Linked DNA regions of Drosophila melanogaster. The protein of the gene in region 4 interacts with the protein of the main gene of each other region in a pairwise test. Each region holds a gene or a part of one and is shown on either strand. Other genes may lie near its edges. The genes, in order: Sbp2, CG7006, Paris and SuUR.

Evidence for each region.
Region 1: the proteins of SuUR (region 4) and Sbp2 interact in a two-hybrid assay, tested with the Drosophila melanogaster proteins (one study listed by BioGRID).
Region 2: the proteins of SuUR (region 4) and CG7006 interact in a two-hybrid assay, tested with the Drosophila melanogaster proteins (one study listed by BioGRID).
Region 3: the proteins of SuUR (region 4) and Paris interact in a two-hybrid assay, tested with the Drosophila melanogaster proteins (one study listed by BioGRID).

Annotation. Positions count from the first base shown.
Region 1 is NT_037436.4:8,300,589-8,308,186, reverse strand, and holds Sbp2 (SECIS-binding protein 2), read right to left. Parts: upstream 4,031-7,598; 5' UTR 3,995-4,030; coding exon 3,501-3,994; intron 3,440-3,500; coding exon 3,219-3,439; intron 3,166-3,218; coding exon 2,939-3,165; 3' UTR 2,862-2,938; downstream 1-2,861. Other genes in the region: BI-1 (Bax Inhibitor-1), read left to right, coding at 1-95, 223-393, 807-851; Gr66a (gustatory receptor 66a), read left to right, coding at 1,207-1,447, 1,509-2,851; CG7194 (uncharacterized protein), read left to right, coding at 4,197-4,365, 4,697-5,568; CG13671 (uncharacterized protein), read right to left, coding at 5,975-7,598.
Region 2 is NT_033777.3:24,844,925-24,851,885, reverse strand, and holds CG7006 (uncharacterized protein), read right to left. Parts: upstream 1,260-6,961; 5' UTR 1,172-1,259; coding exon 1,116-1,171; intron 1,065-1,115; coding exon 578-1,064; 3' UTR 501-577; downstream 1-500. Other genes in the region: Nct (nicastrin), read right to left, coding at 1-48, 174-237; Esp (epidermal stripes and patches), read right to left, coding at 1,653-2,155, 2,218-2,520, 2,582-3,353, 3,424-3,671, 4,510-4,648.
Region 3 is NT_033779.5:4,458,060-4,465,575, forward strand, and holds Paris (parkin interacting substrate), read left to right. Parts: upstream 1-5,551; 5' UTR 5,552-5,727; intron 5,728-5,781; 5' UTR 5,782-5,786; coding exon 5,787-6,827; 3' UTR 6,828-7,016; downstream 7,017-7,516. Other genes in the region: RpL27A (ribosomal protein L27A), read right to left, coding at 230-232; mRpL27 (mitochondrial ribosomal protein L27), read right to left, coding at 945-1,148, 1,207-1,370, 1,425-1,473; CG15435 (uncharacterized protein), read left to right, coding at 1,919-2,074, 2,145-3,500; CG15443 (uncharacterized protein), read right to left, coding at 3,765-4,504, 4,565-4,901; FIG4 phosphoinositide 5-phosphatase, read left to right, coding at 7,179-7,259, 7,321-7,516.
Region 4 is NT_037436.4:11,062,691-11,069,525, reverse strand, and holds SuUR (suppressor of Under-Replication), read right to left. Parts: upstream 4,536-6,835; 5' UTR 4,359-4,535; coding exon of another isoform or gene 4,152-4,358; 5' UTR 4,132-4,151; coding exon 3,804-4,131; intron 3,697-3,803; coding exon 3,497-3,696; intron 3,431-3,496; coding exon 3,252-3,430; intron 3,166-3,251; coding exon 984-3,165; 3' UTR 501-983; downstream 1-500. Other genes in the region: CG6310 (uncharacterized protein), read left to right, coding at 1-158, 220-395; CG45101 (uncharacterized protein), read right to left, coding at 4,152-4,358; CG32075 (uncharacterized protein), read left to right, coding at 4,866-5,005, 5,065-6,064, 6,125-6,339, 6,403-6,623, 6,703-6,752.

The DNA.
Region 1 (7,598 bases), 2.8 Mb from region 4:
ACCTCTATCTGGGTGGGATGCTGGTTAGCGTCATCAACACCATGGCGCTGCTGAGTCTCTTTAACATGGTCTTCAAGTCCTACTTCGTGCAAGTGGTGAGTGCCCATTAATTTGCGTATTAATTTGTATCCTCTAAATCTAATTTCTAATTTCCATTCCAAGGCATTGAAAACTGAATATTTCATAATTGTAATACTTAACAAATTCTTATTTTCCTTATAGACTCAACTTTACGTCGGCGTTTTCGTTATGGCTGCCTTCATCGTCTACGATACACAGAACATTGTGGAGAAGTGCCGAAACGGAAATCGAGATGTGGTGCAGCACGCTTTAGATTTGTTCTTCGATGTACTCAGCATGTTCCGCCGTTTGCTGATTATACTGACGCAAAAGGTATGTTTCCGCGACAAGGGTTTATCCCAACGATCAGTTGTTATATAGCCCCCTTACCCAGCTCAAGACCTTCATGGTTTAAGATAGCTCAAGCCGGAGCCAGTTGCCCAAAATAGCTCAATCAGATTATCCTCGAAAACATGCTGATCACTTTGCAAAAGCTTCCAGTATAAAATTCGATGTGAAAAACCATTTTAAACGGTATTTCCTGCAGCCAAGGCAATAAGTGTACTTTCACAGTCAGGCTAGGATCCTTAGGTCTATATAAACCACTTGTGGGAAGTATATTTATTTCCAAAAACTGCCAATGAAACTTTTTGCAAAGTTCTCTAGCTGTTTGTGAAATTATATTTATGTCCTTTGCTTTTGCACCGTTTAAAGGCAATACCAGTAATGCTCTTAATTATTTGCAGGAGGAGCGAAAACAGAATGAACGCCGCCAGAACAAAACTAAATAAACTTTTATGTGTAACAGCCACCACAAGAAAAACATCTGACACGGATTTTGGAGGCAGATTTCTCATTCTAGAAAATTATTCGCATTGAATATTAATAATGCCGTGTACATTTGGCTTTAAATTTACAGACATATATATCCAATATAAAACCCATGAAATTTTTCCATTTAATAAACACCACAAGAAGTAAGCTCATCCGCGTTTCTTGTCCCAAACATGGCGCAGTAGATAGACCATGTTGATAGTATCGATTAGGGGCGGAGGGGTCAATTAATTAGGCTAAGTGCACTCTGCAGGTAATAACTTGATGTTAGTGGGAATCGGTTATTCAAAGCTGTAGTGTTCAATGGACAACATGGCGCAGGCGGAGGACGCAGTGCAACCACTATTGCAGCAGTTCCAGCAACTGTTCTTCATATCCAAGATAGCTGGAATTCTGCCACAGGATCTCGAGAAGTTTCGATCTAGGAATCTGCTGGAGAAATCCCGTAATGGCATGATTTACATGCTGAGTACTTTAATACTCTACGTTGTGCTCTATAATATTTTGATATATTCCTTTGGAGAGGAGGACCGCAGCCTAAAGGCCTCGCAGAGTCAGTTAACCATCCGCCTTGAAAGGTGCAAACTCATAACCATGTTATTCATTCTTCCCAGGCACCTTGACTTTCGTGATTGGCTTGTTCCTGACCTATATCGGTCTGATTATGATGGTCTCCGACCAGTTGACCGCGTTACGAAACCAGGGTAGAATTGGAGAGCTTTACGAGCGCATCCGTCTGGTGGATGAGCGCCTTTACAAAGAGGGGTGTGTTATGGACAACAGTACAATTGGACGGCGCATACGAATTATGCTGATCATGACGGTCATCTTTGAGTTGTCCATTTTGGTGAGCACCTATGTCAAGCTGGTGGACTATAGTCAATGGATGTCCTTGTTATGGATAGTGTCCGCCATTCCCACGTTCATCAACACGCTAGACAAGATCTGGTTCGCTGTTTCGTTATATGCGTTGAAAGAACGCTTCGAGGCCATAAACGCCACCCTAGAGGAACTGGTGGACACGCACGAGAAGCATAAGCTGTGGCTGCGAGGCAATCAAGAGGTTCCGCCTCCTCTGGACAGCTCCCAGCCGCCTCAGTATGACAGCAACCTGGAGTATCTGTACAAGGAACTAGGAGGTATGGACATAGGTTCCATTGGCAAGAGTTCAGTGTCTGGTTCGGGGAAAAACAAAGTAGCACCAGTGGCCCACTCCATGAACTCCTTTGGTGAAGCAATTGATGCGGCCAGCAGGAAGCCTCCACCGCCTCCCCTGGCCACTAACATGGTCCATGAAAGCGAGCTGGGAAATGCCGCTAAGGTAGAGGAGAAACTAAACAACCTGTGCCAGGTGCACGACGAGATCTGTGAAATCGGAAAAGCTTTGAACGAGCTGTGGAGCTATCCCATTCTATCTCTAATGGCCTATGGTTTTCTGATTTTCACTGCTCAACTTTATTTCCTCTACTGCGCTACACAGTACCAATCGATACCATCGCTTTTCCGTTCCGCCAAGAATCCCTTCATCACTGTTATAGTTCTAAGTTATACGTCTGGAAAATGCGTGTACCTCATCTACCTGAGTTGGAAAACGTCGCAGGCCTCCAAGCGCACAGGAATCAGTCTGCACAAATGTGGCGTGGTGGCCGATGATAATCTTCTCTACGAAATTGTTAACCACCTATCGCTAAAATTGCTCAACCACTCGGTGGACTTTTCGGCTTGCGGCTTCTTTACCCTGGACATGGAAACATTGTATGGTGTGAGTGGCGGGATCACTAGCTACCTGATCATCCTGATTCAGTTCAATTTGGCCGCCCAGCAGGCCAAAGAGGCTATACAGACGTTCAACTCGCTTAATGACACCGCCGGCTTGGTTGGTGCCGCCACCGATATGGATAATATTAGCTCCACGCTGCGTGATTTCGTCACCACGACCATGACACCGGCGGTCTAAACTTTGTTTTCTTGAATGTTTTATTCGATGTTTCGAGCACGTCCTCCTGGCACTTTTACTTATATTTATTTGTCACGAAATAAACTCTCACGAAGCAGTTCTGCGTTTGTACTCCGCACGGGCATCCTCTATTTCATTAAGAAGATCTGCGTAGGTTGCATTCGCTCCGTCAAAGTCAAGGATAGCAACGCAACAAATTTGCGCTCGCTTTTGGAGGGCATAAGAAAGCTCCCTTCTCAGCAGAGGAAAGCAATAGGGCACTTGTTGCTGCTGGCATTGGAATTTCAAGCCTTCTATAGTCGCATCTAGACCACCTTTTTAAGCGGATATTATTAATGGCTGATTTGCGAACAATTCGATTACTCACTTTCGCCGGGGCAGATTTCGCAGTCAGTGGCCAGGAACAACAATTTCACCTTGTTTATCCTTAGCCTCGCCAGAGCTTCTCGAACACCCAAAACCAGGCGGGGATGTGCACGCGCTTTAATCTCGTTTTTGGCAAAGGCGCGCTTCTGAAATCGATCCAGGTCCCTTAACAACTGAGTGGACAACTCCTTGAGGCGAGGACGGGTGCAGTTGTCACAATAGCTGGAAGAGATCAAACATGATATTTCAACGTTTAAAGAAGGTACAACCAGTGTAATCAAACCTTCTAAATCGCCGTGAGTGAATGGCATGTACTGTTTTTGCTTGTGAAGGGTTGTTGGGTGCAGGGGTTTTACTAAGTGATAGGTTTTGAACTTGTTGCTCCAGCGGAATAGCATTCGGATTGATATCTTGACCAACTACTGGGACTCCTTCAAGATCATTCTCTGCGACTTCTCTCTCCGCCTTCTTTGAAGTGCGATATACACGTACGGACTTCTTCAACCTGGTGATCTTCTTCTTGGGATCAAGGCGGGTTTTGCCCTTGGGTTTGTAAACTATGTAGCTACCTCTTGTTATGGCTAAATGTGTCTTTTGAAGTTTATGTGCCTTTGTTTGCCTTTGTGTTTTTGGTCTCGGCTTGATGACAAAGTCCAGAAGAGAGGTTTGCTGCTCCCGTTTCCTGTGCTGGTTTTTGTACTTGGAGCTGCGTGGAGTAATCTTGATCGCTGTATCCTGGACATCCTGATTCCTGCTCCTCCTTATTTTTTCAGTCATTTATTGTGGATTCTTAGTGCATCTCTAAAATAGTGTTGGTCGTCGCGGTAAATGGTGAAATCGCTTTTTCACCACACATGAATGCGAAGAATCAGCGCGGTACAACAACGTAATTAATAAAATCAAGAACCGCAGCAAATGCGGCCTCATTCGTTCCTAAAAGTTTTGATTTGGAAGTTCAACGTTAGGCTTCTGTGAAAAAATGAGTACCGCTAATCATTTTCAAAGAATTCTTGAGAAATTGTCAATCTCTGACAATGAAAGGGCCGTATATACCAAGGAAGCCGAGGAAATTCAAAACTATGTAGTTGACGAACTTAAGCGGGTAGACAAAACCTTTCGCCAGGTATTCGACGGACTCAGTCTTGGAGGTAAGTTATTTAATTTTAAATATCTACATATATTCTACATATATTCTACATATATTTCTATATAAAAACAAAACAAATAAATAGAATAATGTTAGTTACAAGACATTGTCTGGTCGATTTTCTAATGCATTCAATATTATTTTTAATAAAAGTGTAAATTGACGGAAGTAATACAAATGTAAGTCGAGATAATCCAACGCTATACAATTACAATTGATATCTCTTGCTTTATTTTGTTTTATCATTTTTGCAAGAAATGTTGTACTTTCGTAAATTCATCGTTATGTATGTACATTATGTACCTAAAAATATATGTACACGTATCTTTTAGGAAGTTACTTGGATCGCGTCAAGCTAAATTTGCCCGATGAATTTGATCTGCACATGAAACTAAAGTTTCCATTTGATATCCGACCGACTCGGATCGACCAAGGGTTTATTTATTTAGAGGCTGATCTCACCGTAATCAATCCCCAACGCATCCATCGTATTGTACTTCAAGACTGGCTACGCAATGCATTCCGCAAGGTATTCAGGTCTAATCAGACAATTGCCACTACCAGTAATCGAGTCTACAAATTAACCTATACTCTTGAGGGGTATGGTTGTGCCCATACCATTTTAGCCGTTTGTGGTAGTCGCTCGATATCTTTTGATTTGGTACCAGCATTCGAATTCTCTGGAAGCCAATGGCCGTTTGATATTTGCCCGGTTCCTGCTGATGTTAGCAATAATTGGCCATGGTTCGCCATTCCGCAACAGAAGAAGAAGTCGGCTAAACCGAGAACCACATTCATGGTTTGTGCACCACATTGGGAGCGCGAAATTATGAAGGGCAAGGATAATTTGAAGAACGTTCTACGGCTGATGAAAGGATTGCGGGATGCCCACGCCAGGAAATTGCCTCACTTGTCCAGCTACATGTTGAAAACAGTTTTGCTTCATCGCCTCGAAAGTGCTGACTGGGAAAGAGACCTGGGCACCCTATTGGTTGAGATGTGGAGTCATTTGGTGGATCATCTACGCGCTCGTAGACTGGAGTTCTTTTTGGCTAAGGATCATAATGTATTCAATCGTATGAATCAAAATGAAATCAAGATATGTCTAGAAAACGCAAGCACTCTGCTAAGAAAGCTTTGTATTGCTCAGACATGCGGTGGTAGCTACCATCATGTGGCCCAACTATTCAATATTCCAAATTAAGAAGAATTTAATTTCAAAACAATACCGAGCCTTTTTCATGCCATTTGCAGAAAGGAAAAAGCGTACATGCACACATTTGGCTCATTCACAAGGGCGCAGAACAAATATTCGATTATATCCGAGGCTGAATAAGCACATATCTTGCTGAGTAACAGAACTTTAGTGGAAGAAAAAAGAAGTTGAATCAAAAGTCATTTCGGCCGCACATTTGATTGTTTACATTGTCCCTGAACTTTGTTTAAAAATAAAGCTACGAAAAAAAATTGATTTACCCTTTGTTTATATGTATGTATATTTATACAACTATGAGTGTTAAATATCTTATGAAGAGACAACTTTAGCCTTACGATCTACAGGAAATATCAACGGTAACTTTTAACTAAAGTTATATTTCAGGGGGATTTCGCTATAATCGAATGCTGCTTTCGATGGACATGTGCAAGTTGTTGAACTCCCTTAGGTGCGAAAGGATGTCGTCCCGCTCCCGTTCATAGATATCCCAGAATTTGAGATATTGGTTAACGTGCTGGAGTACCAGGTTGCGGGCAAAGTCAAGACAGCTCCTAACGTTACGCATCCGCCGCCTGCAGCTGGTCAAGACCGAACGCACCTGCTGCTCCGGCTCCAATTGGGCGATCACAAATGCAAAAACGTTTTGCACATCAATCCGCACATCGGTTGGGAAAACCACGGATTCCGCGCTCTTTGCCTGGGGGAAGACAATTAGAGACGGCGTGGTTGGCATGGCCAACTCCCAGGGCAGATCATTAGCCTGGCTATCGAAGCGTACAAAGTGCACCTCGGGGCTGCCGAGCAGCGCCGAAACCTGCAGAAATGCTTGGGATAGAACGGCTGACAGAGCGCAGTCAGGACGATGCATAAATACCACATTGGTGACATTTGGTCGCTGGATTGCCTGCAACAGCATCTGTCTATTGTATTTTCTACTGAACCCAGATTCCATCATGGCAAGAGCATTTTTGTGAGTCCTTGGCAATGTTCTGGCGTAAAACTGCCGTATAAAATCTTTAAGAGCTACGTAGGAGAATGTGTGTTGCTGTGGCATAACATACAGTGACTCTTCAGCCGCATCCAAGATGAAAACCTGCACCTGCTGATGGGTTTGCTGAATGCCAAGCTGGTGTAGATAGTCTCTATATTTCACAGAATCGAAGATCACCACGCCCAGCGACCGATTGTGGGCTGCGCGCTCCGTCGAGTGCTGCCAAATGAGCTGGCCATATTTGGTTACCATTTTGGCAATGCCGATTTTTATGGCCGGCGTTCCATGCTGTGAGTGTGCCAGGCAAAGGTTTCTGGAGTGAAGCCGCAGCAAGTGGGGGACGTTTCGATAACTCGGATGGTTCTGGTGCGAGTACTGCCTCCATAGGTGGTTTAGATACCTATTAATCCGATAATAGTTCTTAAGTGTGGTCTTGTTTTTACTCCAGGCCGGGTAACATGTCCGGGTTTGTTCACCATCCCCAAACAGCTCCTTGGGAACTTGATTTAGGGAGGAGGATATGTCTTCAGATTGTTTATCGAATTTTTTCCAGTAGTCTTCGCACCCCTCCGACTGCTTTTTTTGAGCGTAAGCCATCTCCTCGCCCATGACGCTAGCATGGTGATATTGGTTCATTCGAACTCCCATAGCCAGCACGGGGACATGTCGTGCCTTCATGGCGATGGTCATAGGAGTGCCATAGCCATTGGAGAACAGCGACATATTTTTGAGTGTGCTCCGTACCCAGCGCAGAATGTCGATGGTCTTCCATACTCCAGATGTACCATTAAACGTATGAACTCCATTTCGGCTGTCGATAACTACAAACTGGGGCAGCTTGGCCTCCGAGGACTTCAACATCTTCCTGGCACTGTTGCCAAAGTACACGGTGAAGCGGATATTCCTCTCCGGATCCAGTTCCAGCCAGCGCAGACCGGCAGCCAAGTAAAGATTGTAGGCCTTGTCGTCTGGCGAGTCAAGCAGACCCAAAACCACCGCATCCGAGTGCTTCCGAATGGCGGCGAGA
Region 2 (6,961 bases), on a different chromosome or scaffold from region 4:
CTCCTCCAATGGGCTCGTACATCTTATCGCGGGTTCTTTCTCCTTGAGCTGTGGACAAAGAAAGTTCGGGTTAGATGACTCAGGTTATTTGGCCTATATTAAAAAGTGGGCGTGCGGGTTTTCGACGCCGGTCGCTACTGGAAGCTCCACTTTGTTTTCGTCCTGATTATTACCAATAGTTGCTCCATACGACAGTATTAACAGCCATATGGAAGCCGCATTCAGACGCATTTCCATCGAAGATTCCCACGAAATCGCGTCCAGAAATTGCAGTGTTGCGTGTGACCGTTTCGGTACAAAATACCATTGGCATTGAAAATGCGGGTATATACTATTTCAAACTCAAAAAATACCTTGCATAAAATATACCACAAAATATTGGCTCACTATTTAAAATTTTTTTTTTTAATAATAATTTATGAAATGTAGTGTAAGTTTTATTATCAATTATTATTATTATCAGTATTAACATTAAAAATATAAAATCAAAAGCAGTTTATCCGTTTTTCAGCATACTTATTATTTACCTAAACATGGTTATTGCTACAAAACATGTAAAAACTTAGCATCTATGGATCTAAAAGAGCGTGTCCTCGGCGCGAATATATTCGCCGATATCCGACTGATGAAAGCATACGGTGGTCATGGGATCGGCGGTCTTGCAGTCCGTTGTGGAACGCGCCAGTACGCCGAAGCCCAGAGGCAGGTCGTTCATGGAGTAGACCACCACGCCCTGGTACTGGCCGGCGTTCTCCGTGATGCGACCCAGTCCTGTTTTGGGTATGTGGTTGCCGTAGAGAAACTGCTGCTCGAAGGAGGGCTTCACCCACACCTTGTACTGGGCGTAGGGCGCCAAGTAGTAGAGGGCCGTGATATGGAACTTCAGTTTGTTGGTCTTGGAGAACTTGCCGAAGCAGGTGCCCACGCACACCAGCTGCTTGTAGCCGAAGCACTCGCTCAGCTTCAAAATCCGCTCCGAGACGTAGTAGACCCGATCCTTGTGCTCCCGAAAGCAATATGTTCCATCTGGCCGGTCAATCAAATGCTTCACATTTGTGCCAATGCTGTAAGAGCACTTGTTAGCTGCATTGCGATGATCTGTTTTGGGTACTCACTATTTGGACAGGTGCTCGAACAAGATCTTGGCACGTTCGTCGCTCAGGCGTTTCATTTTAAGTTAAATTAAGCGGAAAAAAGAGGAAAACAAACTGCTCAACTTTACACGTGAGAAATGTTTCAGTGTTGAGTAGGGACGGCTAACAGCACTGAATATATCGGTCTATCTATAGCTTTTATCGATAGCTTAAGAGTGCTGTATAGCGCCATTATCAAGTGTTGTATATTGCCCAAGTATTTAAATTCAAAATCAAATATATCTGATAAACAAAACTGAATAATAGTTTTAATTGATTTGAGTTAACCAATCTCACTGACTTTTACTCTTTCATGAAATAAACAAGATAAATTATTTTTGTTTGTTATTATTACGTAATTAAGAAATACACTTATTTGTTCACCTTACAATTTCTAATAGTTGTGTGCTCTGGATAATACTACACAATTAGTTTACAATCTATTTACAACGCCATAAATAATTAAAGCAAACACTTAGGCTAAATTATTTGTATCACGTGTTGAGGAGAATAAGCCAGTTAGGCCGTCTCGAGCCGCTTCTGCACATAGTTGCGCTCCTTGAGCAGCTCATCCAACTGCTGCTCCTGGTAGTAGACCACGAACTGGGCCGCCGACACGTGCTCGAAAATGGAGCAGATACTCGGTTTGAGGTTGTAGAAGAAGAGCAGTTGTCCTCGCTGATTGAAATCACTGATCAGCGAGTCTATAACCGTGGCCGTTGTGAAGTCAGCCCCGTAGACATGCGACGCATCTATGACCACTGGGACATTTTGCCTAATGGACTGCTTGTTGACCAGATTCCTCACATAATCCACAGACGGGAAGATCAGGCATCGATCTGGCGTGATCATTGAGTACTCCACACCCGACTGTGTGGTCAGTAGCTCGGTGCTCAGCTTGGGACGCGCAGCATGGTAGAGGATAAAGATGACATTGAGTCCCACTCCAATGAGGATGCCCCACTCCAGCGGCAAGACAAGGCAGGCCACAAAGGTTCCAACTCCAGGCACCAGATCACTTTCTAATGGGTTATTAAAGTGAGATGAACAAATGACCACTATCTCCATATTTTGTATGACTTACTCTTCGATCTCCACATGGGCTTGACCACCTTTACTTCAATCATGAAGACCACGGCGGATATAATGATGGCTGCCAGGGTAGGGCGTGGAATGAAGTAGAAGTAGGGCGTGAGGAAGAGCAGGGCAATCATGACCAGGCCACCGGAGTAAATATTGCTCAGGGGAGTACGGACACCACTGGCATTATTGACTGCTCCACGACTAAGGGCTCCAGTGCCCGGAAAGGCTTGGACAAAAGAGTTGAAGATGTTGGCCGTTCCAATGGCAATCAATTCCTGCGAGGCATCCACTGGCTTGCCATTGGCTGAAAGGATCAACTATTATTATAGGGAACCATATAGGGAAAGATAGAGCTTAAGACTCACCAAACGCTTTGCAGATGGCTATGTTTTCCATGAGCGAGATCAAGGGAATCACCACCAAGCCGGAACCCATGCTGTGAACCATTTCCACGAATCCCTCGGCCACTCCATTGCTGGTTTCATTGGCAGTCAACGATGTGGGTGGCAACTGGATGCTGGGGAGCCCGGGTGGTATCTCTCCCACCACTCGAAACGGAGCTCCGTGCTCCTCGGTGTGGAGCATATAGCCCATGATGCAGCAAACGACCACCAGAATGGCATTTCGAGCAGTACCCACGATCCAAAGGATCTTGTTCACAGCCCGCTGGAAGGATGAGCATTCCTTCTCGTCGACTGGTCCAATTCGACAGGAAGACAGACTGCGCATCAACAGCAGGATGACAATGCAGGTTAGCCCTAGTACCGTGTCTCCTGCCCTTGTGTGCTCGATGTTGTGGAAGACTTGCGTCCAGATCTCCACGAAGGTGTTGCCCTTGGCCGTGATGCCCAGCACACTTTGGATCTGCGAGGTGAGGATGATCAGCGAGACGGCGGAGGTGAAGCCCGAGGAAACTGGTCCGGAGACGAAGTCAATCAGGAAGCCCAGTCCGAAGAGGCCCATCAGCAGCTCCACAATTCCACTGAGCAGGCAGAGCAACACCGATTTCTGCCAAGATCCTTGAGCAGCCTGATAAGTAAGCAGGGCCACAATCGCAGATGGCCCCATGGGTACATCCTTGCAGCTGCCCAGGAATATGTACACAAAGCAGCCCACAAAGGAGGCATACAAGCCATACTGCCCAAAGGAACATGTCGATTACAATTTATACTTGTAAGTAATATTTATATATGTATGTGCTACTTACGGCTACGGGCAGTCCTGCTATTCCCGCATAGGCCAGTGCCTGTGGTATGACGGTGAGACCAACTGTGATGCCCGCCACCAGGTCGCCCACAGCATCCTGGCTGTTGTACTTGGGGAGCCATCCGAGGATCGGGAGTCTCTTGTGCAGGGTCTTGCGATTGAAGGTGCGCCGCTGGCAATCCTGCAGCCAACTGCGTGTGCAGTCCAGTGTGCTCACTGTTGGCTTCACCTTCTTGCCGTCTTCAGTGACTGCAAAAGATATGTCGGAAATCAAGAGAGATTCGATGAAATGGCTAAAACAGCACTGATTCATTAGCACGTACTGCAGAACCCCACGCTCGATCGAGTTTTTGCTGGTTCCCACCCTTCCATTTAGTTTCAGTTTGCTTTCTGCTATTTTAATTGCTTTTGGTTTTCATTCTGATCTACGTGAATTTCATTGTCAAGGCCAAAGCAAAAGTTTTGTAGCTGAGAAAACGTGGAAAACAATTGCATTTACGAGTATCTCCGAGCGGGGAGCACGAGGCGTATACTTGATGCAACGTTTTTCTTGCCAGAAACATTCGCTGAATTCCATTACTTTAATTGCAACTAACAGGGAAATAACTAACTATGAAATCAATCTGTAACTTGTGGCATAAGTTGCTTCCAAACTAAAGAGCTTAGGTAATAGTACTTAAATGGGCAGCTCTCGTGACTCCGAAAGCTCATTAACTTGTTCCTACAAAATAATTAATTTAATTTGATTTTGTAGTTCATAATTCACCAGCTAATAGCCAAAATTGCTAAAGCTATTTGAGTCACAATTTTAATGTTTGGTAATTCGTAAAAAAAAAAAAATTACAATAAATCAATTGCAATTGCTAGACTATTAAATGTGTACAGTTTGTATTTGGCTTTTGTTAGTCCCGTCAAGCTATTTTATTACTTATTAAAAGATCATTCTACACGAACTCATCTAAAATTTATTACAAATACAATGTGATTGATTTTACGGCAGCAAATTACTATATTTAATTTAACTCCTCTATTTGGTTTCATAATCACTCCCAATAGTTGGCTAAATGTCTTAATACTTTAGACTCACGTATAAACTCCTTGGATCCCTGGGATCCCACGCTGTTGCTGCTCCCATTGGGTTCGGTGAGATTGGTGCTGATGCTGATCGTGGAGCACTTGAATCCGTCGTTGAAGTAGACGTGATCCGAGGCCGGATTGGATTTCATCTTTGGAGCGGGGGTGGCAACAGCAGCTCTGATCAAAACAAACAAACAAACACTGCCCACAAAACACAAGTTGGCTTGAGTTATAATTGCCGGCGGATGGCACCAGGTGACACTAAATCTAAGTGCCAAGTCGGGTATTTGGATAGTATCTGAAAGATGCCCGTTGTTCGAACGATCGGTTCTGGTCGCTTGGCTCTTCACACGGCAGCGTTTCGAACGAAACTGTTTTGTACTTGATGCGAACCTTGTCTTTTATAAAATTCAAAACTTTGTTGTTCTCGTCATCTTCGTCGCTCCGTTTGTTGTTAACTATTTTCGAGTCGCGTTGAGTCGGGTCGTTGGTGGGTTTCGGGTCTGGAATCTGGCTTGTTATTATTATTATTATTATTGTTTTGGGAAACCGGGACGATCGACGATATGCGGGTTGCCCTGTGAAGCTGATAATCCGACGAGGGGGAAAATGTAGGAAAACTACGATAAAGCGAAGTTCCCATCGCGTGTTTCGTTTTTTGTCTTATGAGCACTTACTGCCCAAAAACAAAAACAAAAAAAAAAAACCATTGAGCAGCAAAACGAAAATCGAAGAAAAAAAGTTAAAAAATTAGTACAGAAAAGAGAAGAAAGGAAGTTGTAAATTCTTTTCGTATTAGTCCGTAATTATTTGGCTGGCTCGGCATTTTAGGGAGCATTCGCTCAACACGTGAGCCCGTTGTTCGTTGTGTATTTATGTATCGGGTATCTGTGATATTTTGGAACAAATGAGTGGAAAGTTACCCTGATTTTTGGACCCGAACCGAGTGTATTAATACCCGGGACTTTTTTTAGGGAGAAAATTTCCATTCATTGCAGCAGCAGGTAGATGCTTCTGTTTTTTTTTTTTTTTTTGTCATTATAATCTTTTGTTGTCTTTCGGAGGTTTCTAGTCGCCGGGGGTTACCACTGGCAGTCAGGTGCTAAGATCTCAGAAAAACCAGATTTGGCCACAAACACGACTGACTGCAGACGAAGAGACACTGCCCAAATGTTGCATTTTGATCTTGCATTCGGATGCCTGCACCCCATGCTGCTACCAAATGGAGTAGTTTTGCCTGTTTTTGGGTTTTATCCTCCGCGTTATCGAGCATCTCTTAAATGCCATTAACATTAACATATTTTTAGGTACGCTTAATGAGATATTGCCTTATCAATGAGTTCGCGACAAGGCTAATTGATCTGCCTTCGGCGCGCTGACTTGTATTAATATCATCATCTCCGTACCAGACATCATTATAAAATGCTATATTTGTTTGGATTAAAGGAAGTAACAAAATCGGAGCCCCAGCTCATTCCACAAATAGTAGTGCAAGTATTCTGAATATTTCCAAATGAACTTGACACTTTATAAACGTATAGACCCTTTGCTAACCAAACAAAAGGTGAGACCAAAAAATGTCATGGGTAAATAAATATTTAAATGCACAGCTTGGGGTCGTATTGTGTTTCTATGGAAATCAATGGTGTCTTAACGCTTTGAACAAATTATTTTGAAATGCATTGATTGTAACCTTAGTTGCCGATCGCAAACTTTCTATATTTATGCTGATTGAAGTTATGTTGAAGTTCAAGATGAACATCGAAATTCAAGCGAATATCGCAAAAAACTTCCTAGACAGCTGATGCTGTGACAAATGGAATTATTTAAATTAATTGAAACGTGCTGTTAGTGTTAAAAGCCCATAAATATCACTGTCTTTATAGCCCGGCCAAGATCAAAATTGGCAAAGCAAGCGACGGTGCTATATTTCATACCAACTATTTAAAAAGCTTATATGACATCTTATATCTAATAATATGTTATAATGAAATATAAAAATACTTAAGGTTTGCGGTTACCAAGAGATAACTATAAAATGAAAGGGTGATTTACCTAAAAACGAAGTACTCAAACTTTCTATGAGGTATTCCCGTAGTCGATCTTTAAGAGCTCTAACTGCCTTCCACGTTTTGAAACCACTCAATGTTTGGGTATTTTTCGTTCTGCCTTCTCCGTTGTGCATTTCGTTTCCTAATCGCAGTCAAATGACTTGAATACTACGCGTATCAGTCAGCTGGCAAAATAGCATAATTTTTAATGAGTGTACACGTCAAGATGCCGGTAACTGGTTTTATACGGGGACCTCAACGATGATGGCAGACGGTGATCTTGGGGGGATTCTCCAGCTGCCGAAGTCGTCTGCTAATTTTGGATGATGTCAAACAAGCTGGCGCTTCTCACACCGAAAGTATTTTACATCCGAGGGCGTTTCCCTTTGTCTTATTTGTTTTGGTTTGGGC
Region 3 (7,516 bases), on a different chromosome or scaffold from region 4:
GTAAGGGAGAGCAGAAAAGAAACGTGTTTTCATTGAGCATTCCTCAATCATTTTCACCCACGTGCTGGAGGTTATGTTTACTTGCTCCAGTCGCTATGCTCACTTGGCCATTGCAGTCAGTGGGCAGGCATGCTGCGGCACTTTGAGTGAGCTCTTATTTCTATTCCACATCATTCGCCTGCCCACAAACCACATTTTAGGTGCACCACATTTACCGACGTCCACTCACCATCTTTAAAATTGTAGGAAAGAAAGAAGCGAAGTTGGCTGCGGTTGTAGCAGTGTGACCGCCCGGCGGCGATAACAAAAAATACGAAATACCATCCGGACAGAAAACATATACCCCTAACTACCATTTTAGTCTGAAAAAATATCTCGTACACACCATTATATTTAAGATAAATTTAAGTCTATATGCATTATGAAAATATATAATCATGAATAATTAAACATAATACTGCATATATAAGCGTTAAATTGAATTTCACTACAACAATACTAAATAAGTTTTTACATTCATAGGATAAAACGTGTACTTGATTTAAGCGAAATTCTGTAGGCAGTGCCTATACCGTCATGTGCATAATTTTATAATTTCTTATAGATGATTATGGCTTATTATTAAAGTTCATTTTACAGTTCAATAGCGTTCGGCTTGGCTAAAAAAGGGGGAAGTGTAGTTTTTGTTTTTGAAGTTCGCAATGTAAAAAGTTTTGCGAAATTAATAATCGAAAATGTTGCATTGATATCTGGCTATTAACTGGATTTCTTTTCAAATTCGGGGCGTGTATTCGATAGTTGGTTCAGAGCATTGCTAAATACAGTGCTGTATAACGGTCGTGCTGGCATGTAAATATAACAGGTGCTGTTAAGCACATCGATGTTAATTGCCAAAAATTCAAATATTCACATTTCCATTTGGTTTAAATTTTGTATTTAACAATCTAGATTTCCTCCACTAGACGAAATCGCTGATGCTGATTTTCGGGCACAACATTGAAGAACTTCTTGTAGATGTTCTGGCCCTGGCGACCGGCGTAGTTCCGCTGAATCCAGGTGTGGTCCCAGTTGGGATCGATGGCCTCGCAGGTCACATAAACCTTGCCGTGCTCCATGGCGAAAAGGGTTCCATTGCGGCCAAAGCCCACCTTTCAATGGGAAAAAGTATAAAAATATGCCGGGATAACTCCTTCCTGCGCTACTCACATTCAGGCCCGGATGAAAGCGCGTTGTGAGCTGGGTGGCCAGTATTGTGCCCTCGGAGACGTGGTGCCCATCCTGGACGCGCCATCCGCGATGTTTGGGCCTCGCATGGCCCTTCTTATTCCTCGTACTTCCGCCGGTTTTCTTGCTGGCATTGCGCACGGTGGCTAAATGGGATTGAATTGATTAGAATATGCAACCGGTTCGTGGGAAGTCCTTACTCATCAGCGGCTGGTCTGCCTTCAGGCACTGCATGGTCAGCTTTTGCATGATATTAAACGACATATTTGTGATTTTATTCCAGTAGCGAGGTTTGTTTATGCAATTCCAGATGGGCACCAGTGTGACCCCCGAGTTCAGCTAGATCAAGAGCATTAACAGACTGTTGGCCACTGTTGCCAATTGGTGTTAATAAAATCTAGCTTTGTAAATATATATCAAATAAATCTACGTTTGTATTTTCAACAGTATTATTTATGCTTAAATAAACTATCGTCTTAGTCATTAATATATCTGTCACGTGTTTAGCTAATAATAATTAATATTCAAAAAATTTGCTGTAATCCTGTTATAGCTAACTGGACATCACTGCCGCAAGTGGGTGGACTGTTGAGTTTTGAACCTTCAGTGGTAGGGCAACACTCGCCGGAGTGTTGAAAATTGTCATTGTTTATTTTTTCCGGCATAAGCATTAAGTTTAAGGTTTGCCATAAGTATGACGTCGTGGGGCAATATCTGCCGCATCTGCAGCAGCCCCGCAGACTACGAGATATTCGCCAAGATTCCCACGTATTTGCACGGCTCCACAAACGAGTTTCTCAACTGGCAAAAGCCCATAAACGTTCTGCTGGAGGAGACGACGGGCCTGAAAGTAAGTGACTCCATTCTAAAGTAGCCAGATAAATGTTTATATGAGTGCCTCCTCTTTCGACCGACCGCAGAACTCCACGGACGACGGACTGCCACGCAACATATGTGCGCCGTGCATCTCCTATCTCAAGCATGCCGTCACATTCCGGGAACAGTGCATCAAGAACGCGCTGAGTCTCAAGCTGGCGGAGCTCTACCAGCAGAAGAGGGTCAACGTTTCGGATGCGAACAAGATGGACAAGGAGAGCGCCCTCTTCACGGCGGAGGATCTGAATTATGTGGAGCAGAGGCCAGTGCATAATCTTCTGCTAAACAACAGCGCCAACAAACTGGAGTCATCCAAGGACAAGGTACACAAGCGACTGCTCAATCAGACGACTACCCAGCTAGACGGCAATGCTGAGCAGAAGATCCAGTACTTAAACGTGCTGTTCAACAAGCAGCAGCCTCACAACAGCATGCCCAGGCAACCGCGGGATGGCGAACTGCCATCGAGCAGTGGCCAAAATGACGACGAAGATGACGACTATGCGGTGGCCAGTTCCAGCGACGACAACGAGGAGGCGGCCCTGCTGCGCAAGCACAAGAACTGCTATAACTACACCGAGACCAACTTCGAGGAGGACGATCCCATGGAGCAGGATCAGCTGCAGCTGCGCGACATCAAAGTGAACATACCGGAGCCCATGTGGAAGGAGCGCAAGTGTCCGGCATGCTCCAAACGCTTCATGTTCGAGGACTCGCATCAGTCGCATCTGGACAACTGCGTCGAATACCAGTTCGTCACGTTTGTTACCGAGGTGACCAAGTTGCTCGAGATTAGGCGACAGAAAATGGTCTCGCCGCACGAGTTCATCCGCCGCATGATATTCGCTCTGCACAAAACTTGCGCCTGGCTGCAGGAACATTCCATAGACTCGCTTCTGGCCGAGAAGCTCAATCAGGTGAAGGTGTCCAACGGTGAGAAGATAGCTGAGCCGCCAATTCCCATAGATATACCCGATCCCCGGCCGGTGCAGGAACCATCTCTATTCGACTGTGCCAGCGGAACGACGACTCCGATCACGGAGGAGAACAACGTGCTGTACGCCATTGAGCGCTCTGAAAGTTGCCATTCCCAGGGCACGCCGACGGTGAAAAAACCCATTCCCATTCGCGGAAAGGCGGCGCTGGGAATCGGGCTGGACAAGCACAGGGAGAGAGCCACGTTCCTCGAGAAGCTGCAACGGGCCGCTGTCTCTCCTGGCACAGTTTCGCAGGGTCCAGCGCCCGTTTTCTCAGCCCGCTGCGGGCAGTGCAATTTAGAATTTGACTCAGTCTCCGAACTGGAGGTGCACAACCACAATGCCCACAGGGGCAATGAACTGAACGCCGACGACGAAGCCAAAAGGCGTCAAATAATCGCCCTCTTCGAGGATGATATTTAGGTTTTACAAAGTCCTGTTTTTCATGCCGGTGGCTCAATCAAACTAGTAATCATGTTGACCACTTTGCATCTGTGTTTTTGTCGTATTGTATTTATTTATTATTTATTTATTTTATTCTGTTTCCATTAGTGATTTAGTTTTGCTTAGCGGCAATCCATGTTCATTTACAATACATTCTCGAGTACTCAAAAGTCCGTGGCTTTATATTTATATGTACTCTAAGACCAATAAAGAGATTTGCAAGACTTATTCTTAACCATAAGCCTATGCGTATATTTGCAAGCTATTCAGTACCAGGTTGGAATCTGCTACCTTCAAGTGCAGACAGTTCTTGAGCAAGCGCATCGCGTCCAGGTTGAGATCTGGATCTCGCAGAGCGAAGAGCTGGTTTAGGGTTTGCACAAGATTCTGCGGGTCTGCCAGTGCGAATATTAGACTTGTGTCACCTAGGGCTACCAGATTGGTCATTACACGCACGGCGTAGATTAGGCACAGCCGGTCGGCTGGCGATGCTAAGGTGGCTTCAAAGAAACGCACCAGGCATTCGGCCTGTTGAGCATCTAACTTGTGCTCCTGTGTCACTATTTCCAGTTGGTGCACTATGTACATGAAGTACTCGCTGGCAGGCTGGCCGTGGAGCTTCTCAGGCAGATTCTGGCCAATGTACCTTCGATCCTCGTCACTCACATGCTGCGGGCAGCGGGTGGCCACCAGGGAGAGGCAGATGGCCGCATCTTCTTGGCAGCCATTGGGCTCGATGTAGAGCCTCCACAGCTTGGGTACTATTTGCATTTGCAGCAATACGCTGCCGGCCTTGTCGCATGTGCCCAGAACGTTGGCCAGTGTCCACAGGCAACTGCGCTTGAGGCGTTCGGCCTTGCCATCAAGGTAGGTGACCATGTAGCTGCCCGCCAAAGTGACAATCTTTTCGGAGACATGGGCCTCGCCCAAGGAAAGATTACACAAGCACTCCACGGCATCTGTCTGTCGTTGAATGTGAGGTCCTGAAAGTCAAGTCAACCTTTTTATATAAAACTAAAGCTAATGAGGGTGCAGTTGGTTACCAGTTAGCTCCTTAACCAGAACCTGAATGGCGCCAGGAATAGCTGCGAATGCATTGATGTTGTCATTGCTCTGGAGGAACCCCAGCGACAAGCGGCACAGATCCTCGGAGGTGGCGTGCTTGCGACGCTTGATCCTGCTGGCCATTCCAATGACGTCCTTGGTGCCCATCTCAAGAGCCGCCACTTCCTGCTTAACCTGTCCAAGTCCAATGCGCAATGAGTCTTTCGCCTTTATGCGGCACTCAACACGGTGATCCTTGGCATATGCACGAATCTTGTTTCGCAGAAAACTTCCCTCCCCAGTTGTCGTCACAAAGTCCATTTGTTTAAATTTCATGGAATCCTTAGCAAGTGAGCAATATTCCGATAATAATAACAGATTATCGATAACTATGAAAGGTTAACAGCACTTCACTCATCAGCTGTTAAAATTGTAAACAAAAAAGGTACGCACTTGTTTGTTTATATTTTATTTGGAGTAAGTAATGCTTATTTAATTTCAGGTCAATGGTGGTAATCTGAGCCCGGAATCGATGGATAAACATATTCAGTGGCACCCAGGAACCCGATTTTTCATATGTGAATTTATTTTTATACTGGCAAAGAAGTTCGGCGAGGAGATTCATTTCCTTTTTGTGCCTTTTTAATTTAATTTTTCTATGATTTCCACGGAAAAAGTCCAGTGCTCCTTCTGTCCAAAATTATTCACCACTAGCTAGGCGAAAATGTGAAAAAACTATACGAAGATAAATGTTTGTTTTTCCAAAGAAATTTATTTCAATTTTATATTCTTCAACAGGTAAAGGATATCGATATCCGATAAGAATTTTCCCATCAAAACTTGGGCTGACCACCACAGGGCGACCCTTGCAAGTTTGCGTTTATCTCAGCTGTTAAATATGGTAAACACACCTTAGTTTCAAAAATCATCATTTTGATAAATAATTTGAATTTCGAACATCGATAATAAATCGATTTAGCATATGGCCCAGAGAATAGGGTGCCCAGTGTACTGTGCACAATGTGAAGTTTAGCTTATTATTATTTTGAATTGTTCATCAAGGCAATCGCATTAATTTTCAATTAATTGGGATGTATGAAACGGATTCCTAAATTATAAAAGATTGCTTTTCCAGCTATAAGCTATTTAGTATATACATCAGGTAAGTAATATAGTCCTTCATAAAGTTCAGCCTAATAAGTATTGTTTATTACAGGGATAATGGCGGAAATATGCCGAGTTTGTATGGATATTTCTGGTAAACTCGTTAACATATTTGACGCCAGACGAAGAACCAGAGTTTCCATTGCCGAGATGATCGCGCAGTGCACCGGATTCGAGGTCAAACGTGGCGATTTGTTTTCGGAAATGATATGCCCACAGTGCTATGAGGACGTAAAGAGCGCGTATGGGATAAGGCAAACTTGTGAGGAAAGCCACCAGTTCTACTGCCGAGTTCGCGATGAAGGCATCGAGGATGCTTTATGCGCCTTGCTCGAAGAAGAAGACTGGGAGATTTCGGAAGACGAAGATGCGCGGATTGATTCTGCATCCGCTGCTGATGACGATGGGAAAAGCGACAGCAAGAAGGTAGCATTCGAATGTCGAGAATGCCACAAGAAATACCAGCGAAAGGGAACTTTTCTGAGGCACATGCGAACACACATGGACGGACAATCCTTCCCATGCCCCTACTGCAAGCGGAACTTTAGACTTAGAGTCACTCTCAAGGCGCACATGAAGACCCACAATGCAGCGAAACCCTACGAGTGTTCCCACTGCGCCAAGACCTTTGCGCAGCAGTCCACTCTGCAGTCGCATGAGCGAACTCACACTGGCGAACGACCATTCAAGTGTTCACAGTGCTCAAAAACCTTTATTAAATCATCCGATCTCCGGCGTCACATCCGCACACATGGCAGCGAGAGACCGTTCAAGTGCTCCAAGTGCACGAAAACATTTACGAGGAAGTTTCACCTTGATAACCATTTCCGTTCTCACACTGGTGAACGACCATTCAAGTGTTCCCACTGCCCCAAGGCCTTCGCTATGAAGCAGCACCTCAAGCAGCACAGCCGCCTGCACTTACCAGATCGTCCATTTCGCTGCTCCCACTGTCCCAAGACTTTTCGGCTGAGCAGCACTCTCAAGGAGCACAAGCTCGTACACAACGCTGAAAGAACATTTAAGTGTCCTCACTGTGCCAGTTTCTATAAGCAGAGAAAAACACTTGCTAGACATATCCTCGAGATACACAAGTGACCACTACTTTAAAAACACTTGGAAGACATATCTTCCATGTGCACTACTTTAAAATGGACAAAAATGATTTTGCTAGATGATAAAATAAGCTAACATATTCATAGGTATTGTAAGAATAAGGCATAAAATTGGTTGGTAATGAATATGCCTATTTTGATATGTTTTATGATGGAATAAAATGTTATTTATATTTGATTGAACCAAAACAAAATTAATTAATCGACTCCCTCTCACGCTGCCAACACTGGCCATTTCTCGCATATCCAACTACAGATGATGATCAGCTGTTTGTTGTTTATGTGGGAGCGGCCTGAGAAATTGTAACAAAAAAATTTCGGAAAAGCTGAAAAAATGAACAATGATAATCCGAATATAGTTTTCAATCCCCTGATAAGCTCCATCCAAAAAGTAGTGCTCTATGAGACACGAGCGGTAAGAAATCACCTCCAGCTGACCTTTTTTTGACTAATCACATATATCGCCATAATTTCAGCGCCTCTATTTGGTGGGCAGCAACAATCGGGAGACTCGGTTTCGCCTCCTGACCATAGACCGACTTGCCCACAACCGGCTGAGTATCGAGGAGAATGCCAACGAGTTTAACAGCCTGGAGATCCGACGTTTTGTCGCTTCCCTTTCGGGTTCGCCCAAGGTGACGTCCGCTTATGGCGTCCTTGGATTTGTGCGCT
Region 4 (6,835 bases):
CACGGTGCAGTACACAGAGCGACTATCCCATTGGCCATACTGGCTGAATACGGCTACGGCCAAGTACGTGGTCACCAAGTCATTACCCGGAGTATCGCCCGTGGCCTATGCCATTAAGTCCACGCATCAGACTTGCTTCTTTGCCGGATTCTATTGCCGTAAGATAAGACGGAAGTGATATGAATGCCCTCGCTAATCGTAAATGAATCTCTATTGCAGTACAATCACTGAGTGAATTCACGTTCAGAAACTCCAATGGTGATACCTTTGCCCAGGAGAACATCCAGTATCAGTGTCCACCACTCTTGGGCGGCATGTGTAGGCGGGAACTGGAGTTCCAGCGCCAGGCGGTGATGCACAACTTAACGATAATATTCGGAAAACAGAGAGGATAGCATACCAGGATCTAGTTCAAATTTAAATCATATGTGCAAACAACTAATTGACTTACCTACCAATAATCTTAATTCCTAATAAAAAAAAAACACACACAATACTTTGTTTTTAAATGTAAACCCTGTGTTTATTTAACGATGATACAAAATTACACGGTACTTGCTTCTAAAAACGATATCTTTCGTTACTTTAAAATTGTTGAATACACTTTGAATGCGTATTGAAATAATTTAAAAAAAAAAAAACACGTCTAAATCAGGTGGCACATTTTGGAAAATGAATTGAGAAACTAGATAAACTTGTGAACTAATAATTTACCAATTATATCTACTTACAAGATACGCATACAATATTATGCAGTGTCTTTTCAATTTTATGGTAACCTTACTCTTCAAAATGCGCACACAAAGTATAATTTTAACTAAATTAGCTAGACGGTCCTGTGCAATTTGATTTTACAACCTCATATTTGGATGCTGTTAACTTTTGATTTCGTACTATATGTTATATATTCCTTCATTCATTATATATTCAATAATTGGATTTGATTTGATTTGGTTTTTGTCATTTTCATTGATTGCTGTTCATCACTTGAACAGTTCCAATCGCTTTCTTTTGGTCGGTCCTGATGCTCCACCACTTCTCGCCGATCGCGTTTGACAAGCTGCTGCACTTGTGGATGAATTCACCGGCGTACTTGGTGCACTAACCGATTCCACGGAGCTGGTCTGTGAGGCTCCACCGCCGAAGACGGAGCCAAACCAGCGTGTTAGTTTCGTGGCCTGAGTGGATTTAGCACCCTGTTTGGGAGATTTGGGTGACTTGCGCAGCGATGCAAGAATGGAATTGCGATTACCATTCGAAGGTTGCGTTCGCTCCTGCGTAATTCCAGAACCTATCAAATAATTGGTGATTTTATTGGCCTGCGACGGCCTGACGGACTGTTGATCCGGTTGCACGGGCGATACTTCGCCAGAGGAGTTCAATCGCATGCGACTGCCAAATTGGCCATTGTTCGTTATCTCAAAGAAGTCATCTTCCAGCAGGGTTCTTCTTCTCTGCGTAATGGTAGACTCTGCATCATCCTTCTGGGTCAGTGGCAAGGTTGGCAAGACTTTGGGACTAGTTTTAGCCGACTGCTGTTGTCGTGGCTCGAACATTTGCTCCAGGATATCCAAACACGAGCGATCTCGCTTCTTTTTTGGCACCGATATATTTACTTTCGCTAGCTGCTGCTGAAACTGCTTCACCTCAGAGCCAAAGATCTTAAAGCCTTCGAAGGGCGATGAGGGTCTTGGTTGCGCCAGCGGAATCTGCGAGTGTTCCGAGGATATGCTAAATAGATCTGGAGATTTGTTGGCACTCCTCTTGGCCGGTGGTAGACCCAATCCGCCGCCGAAACTTGAATTGACGGACGTCACGGGTTTGCGTTTTCTTTTCAAAGCCTTGGTGCGACGACTCTGCGATGGATCCTGCGGAGAACACTCATCGTGCGAGCTATTGATCACCACTGTCTCAACTGGATCTTTGTAAAGCGGAATAGACACCACCTCAGAATCGTTGAGCAAATTGTGTGTAGACGGCAAGGTTAGAAGCATTGGAGTTTGTTGAGGTGTAAAGGGCACACGAAAAGCGGGCGACTCAATGGCATCCAAATTGTCTGGTATTCGCTGAGCACATTGCATGTACTCCGAGGACAACGAGCTACCACTGAGAACTTGAGGAGTAGGTGGCAAGTGCTTTGAATTCGGCTTAGTCTTTGTCTTCCCCAAATCTTCAGTCTTGGTTTGGCATTTTCTCGGACGTCCAGGCTTTCGTTTCGCAGTTCCTTGAGCAGGTACATCCACCGTCTTCTGTTTCTTTTCCTGCCCGACTTTAGACTTAGGCTCCTGCTTCACTATTTGTTTGCTACTTCTGGGCGTTTGGTTACCCTCCAACTTGACTCTCCTTGGAAAGCTACGCTTGACATCATCCAATGAGCGATGTTTCAAGTACTTACTGTTTATTTTTGTTTCAGCGGATCGTGTTAGGCGCTGCATTCCCCTTGTGGCTGGACGACCCACATCCACTGGGCTCACCGTGCGCTTTTTCAGATTTTTTCTTCTAGCTGTGGGCTCCGTTTTGGGCGTTACGATCGCAGTAGTGGTTCTGGACGGTGGTGGTGTGCTCAGAGTATCGAGGGAAACCCTTAAAATTCGAACATTGAGTCTCCTTGTCTTAGGTGTCAGATGAACGGTGGCTGCACGAGTTCTCTTCCTTGGCGGCATATTATCGGTCGCTTCATCATCCTCTTCGGAATCGGTGAGATCAGCTTTTTTGCGCGGTGACGTTTTTTTGCTAAATTTTTTCTTTGATTTCGTCCTTGGTGATTCATTTAATGAGGGCGTTCGATTTTGCGGAGTACTTGGAGGTGTTACAATCTCACAATCATCGCTGGATACAACTAATACCGGGTTTTGATCTGCATCAGGTTCTACTGTTAGGGGTTCATCGTCAGACTCGGAATACTCGAATATCAGCGGTGACATTGCCACATCATCCACGCTGTGCTCGGATAACCTATCCGTTTCTTCAAAGAGCCCAGTTTTATTTTGCTGAGCCGGATTGTTGTCTATGGAAGCGATTGTAGAGCACACATCTGAGCCGCTTATTGTGCTCTGGCTGTTCTTTGAGGCCAACCAGAGATTCAGATTGTGTTTGTATTGCTCCGGTGCGACAAGTGGCAGTGACTTGTCGAATTGATGACGAAAACGACGCAGACGAAAGTCCCTACAAATTATATAAGTTATTTTCATATGCAACTGACTATTCCGGTCTTATGCAACAGTGAAACTGATCGTTGCTGGTTCACCTACTTGATGTACTCGCTGAGGAATCCCCGCTGCTTGTAGTATTCCTCGAGATCTATGCGCTTACTGAATACCTCCTTCGGATCTGGCAGATGGAATTTTCGATCGAAGCTCGCAAAGCTTTTGTACTGATGCTCCAGTCGGCCGCCCAACCGTAGAACATTGTAGAGCAACCTAACGTCGGACTGCAGAGAGAGAGAAACCACATAAGCTAAAATGATATAAACCATATTATGAATGCATTGCCTCACCGTAACGTCAACACTGGAGATAAGAACGTTTACCCGTCCCTCGAATTGCTTCAGCAGCATGGAAGTGCAAAAGCTGTTGTTCAGCGAATGCCCCCGATTATCCACCATAATGTAGTCGAACTTGAGGCGACTGAGATCTCCAATGCTCCGTAGTTGGCTCCATTTCGCCAGGTAAACGCTGTGCGGGGAGTCGGTGGTATCTGTAAAGGCAGAAAGTGAAGGTGTTGAAGTTTAATTTTTAAATGGCAATAATGTGAAATTACGATAACATTCTTATCAACAAATCCATTTAAATATTAGGCATTACCTTGCACCCCCTGAATGATGTACACCTGGAGGTCAGTGAGAGTGTCCAAATGGAATCGCCAACCGGTGAGCAGTTGCTCATCGTTCTGGAGCACCACAAGTGTTTTTTTGGCGGGTGGTAGGGCACTTAGAAGTGCCGCCACCGTAGCGACCTTTCCAAGGCCACTCTCATCATTCAGGATGCAGAATTCCCGCTTAGCCAAACGATCGTAGACGAAGCGGACGGCATCCAGTTGAAAGCTCTTGAGGTACTGCGTCACGTGGCTCGTGACCAGTGCCTCATCTGTGAGCCGCACCTCCGGCGTTTGCTCGGATACAAAGTGATACATGATCCTTCAGAGAATTCGAATCAATGGTGTGCGTGATGCAGGGCCAGATAGATGGCAACCAGGATGTAGAATAGTTGCAGGTACGAGAAGATCACGAACATCGAAAATGAACCAATTATCATCTTTCGCGCCGCAGACGGCCCATCGAATTCGATATTCTCCGGATGCAGTATGTCCACCACGTTGTAGTTGTTGTTGATGATAACAGGATGTTGGATCTCGTACATGTGTTGAAACTAGTTAAGCTTCAATTTTTTCGGAGGACAATTTTCGTCCCTTTTGGGAAATTGGGTTAAGCGCTGTTAGTCATGGCGGGGGCGCGGGAAAAGGCTTAACAATCGAACAAGAAGAAAATATTATTTTTGGCTCCAATTCTATTTCACCATTCACACAGAACCGGCTGCGTCTTGTTGGCGCGATCAGCTGTTGGACGTTGGTAGTGTTGGCAAACGAAGCAATGTCTAGAAATAGCCAAAAGAGATACTGCTCTTGATTAATAGCAAAATATTAAAAAAAACTTACTGAACCGACAAGGATTAGTAAAATACATTAGGTTGGAAACCTTTGGCGAGTAAAATGTTTTTAAATTAAATTATTTATTCTGCCAACTCAAAACTTGTGTAAGGAATTCATTTTTATAGCTGCATTTAGCTCATCACTGTTGCAACTGTTGTGATTTCGTTTGCGGTTTGTTTCGCATGGAATTTGTTTAAATTTATTCAGACCAAATTGCCATGGCTGTTGCAAAGAAGGAAAAATTTGAGGCAAAAAAGAAAAGCCCTGAAAAGGGAAAACAGCAGAAAGCCAAAGTTGTTCCTGTCACACCGCCACCAAATGTAAAACAACGAACTGTGGTCACTCCTTGGCGAGACACGTGCGTAGACAAAAAGTGGAAACAAATCCAATCCGTTGATAAAAACATTACATTTTCAGGCTGGAATTTAATACAACGTACAAATGGTTGTTTGGCAAGTCCAACACACCAGCCACATGGCGTCAAGCGCTCAGTAAAATCCGCATTTGGTGTCTGCGAAGAGGAAGTCTCTGCCCGGCAGCGGTTTTGGCCACATCGGTGCTTGTTCAGGCGCACTTGGAGGACCAGGAGGGCAGCGCCAAAATACAGGACACCTATGCCAGTGCCTTTACACGATTCTACAACTTTATGTCCTCCATTATCCAGGGACACAACATGTCCAGCATGTATGAAACGGCCAAGGAACTGGGCCTCCAGTCGTTCATCGTTGATCTGCGCCACTTGTGCGCCCATGGACAGGAGCTGCCGCCTGTGGAGGTGCTGAGAAACACCTCGAATCATTGTCTGGAGTGGCTGCGCACCTACTACTGGTTGCCACACATGGAAACCATGTCCAATTTGGATGCTGGCAAACTGCATCGCAAGGACAAGCTTAAGTTTGAAAAGGCTGTGACAGATCTTCTGGAGATCTACGATCTAACCCTGGAGTGCCATATCAAGGGGGCTGAGAAACTAAAGGCCATTAGCAAGCTAAAATCCAGTGGTGAATTCAATAAGATACGAGTCTACTCCTCCAGCAAGAAGGCGAAGACATCGAAAGAAATTCTGAGTGCTGTGTTAGGTGATCTAAGTGCGTTGGTCAAAAAGGAGTCATCATCGATGAAGGATCTGCTGGACATATATACAAAATGCCTGCTTAAAATGAAATACTTCCTTGGCGTTGGCTTGGAAATCGACGACAACGAGGATGTCATCATTGCAGCCACACAGGGACTCTTCCGTCTATTGGCCGTGCAGGGATATATCGAGAAGGTTTTTTTGGCCCTAGTTCAACTGAGTGAAAACCAAAACGAGTCGGAGCAAAGGCGTCTGGGAGCCAGCTACTGGGCAAAGAAAATGTTGGAAACATTTGGGATGCTGTTCCGTATGAAGCGCATGTACAAAGCCGAACTGGATTTGGTTAGTATAAATACGGAGTGTGTTAACGATGAAAACACTAAAATATTCTTTATTTTCCAGAACGATAAACTAAAACCAGCGGACTTTGCCACCCTAAACACGGATAAAATTTCTAAGACAATGCGCAGTCTGTTAGTACACTCAAATGCCGATCTCTCGGTTACCCTTATTTTTGGCGACAATCCCAAAAAGTCCAGGTCTTTGATTTTTGATCGTGATTTTATTATGCAGCGTGTTGATGCATTTAGCAATTACTCAGCGCCCATTCTAAAAGGGTAGGTATACATTTTTTTTTGGGTTTACTTGCTTTTGGATTAATAAGATTGACATTTTCTTAGATTATTACCGCTCGCAGATCCTCCATACACCAAGACGCAAATTGAGGATTTAACTAAACTCTGCGATGCACAGCTTGAAGAATTTTATGAAGAGGAAGCTATGGAAGAAGATAGCTCTTCAGAGGAGAGCAACAATCTAGACCGTTTGGAACGATTTTTGGAACAAGCAGCTCAAAGCAAAGAGCATACATCAGACTGGGGAGTTTGGAAATTAGACAAGCGTAAGTTTTGATTTGGCTTTGCATTTATGTGATTTGAAAATTAATCAATTATCGCTCTTACTGTAAATGCTATTTCCAGATACCGATTGGCCCAAATGTGCATTGGGTGTGCTCCCTTGGGCTCAATAAATACGCAGATTAATATTAAATAAAGTAATTAATAAAAACTAGTACTAGATCCAGATTTGAATTTTTATTTGGCGCGCATTTCT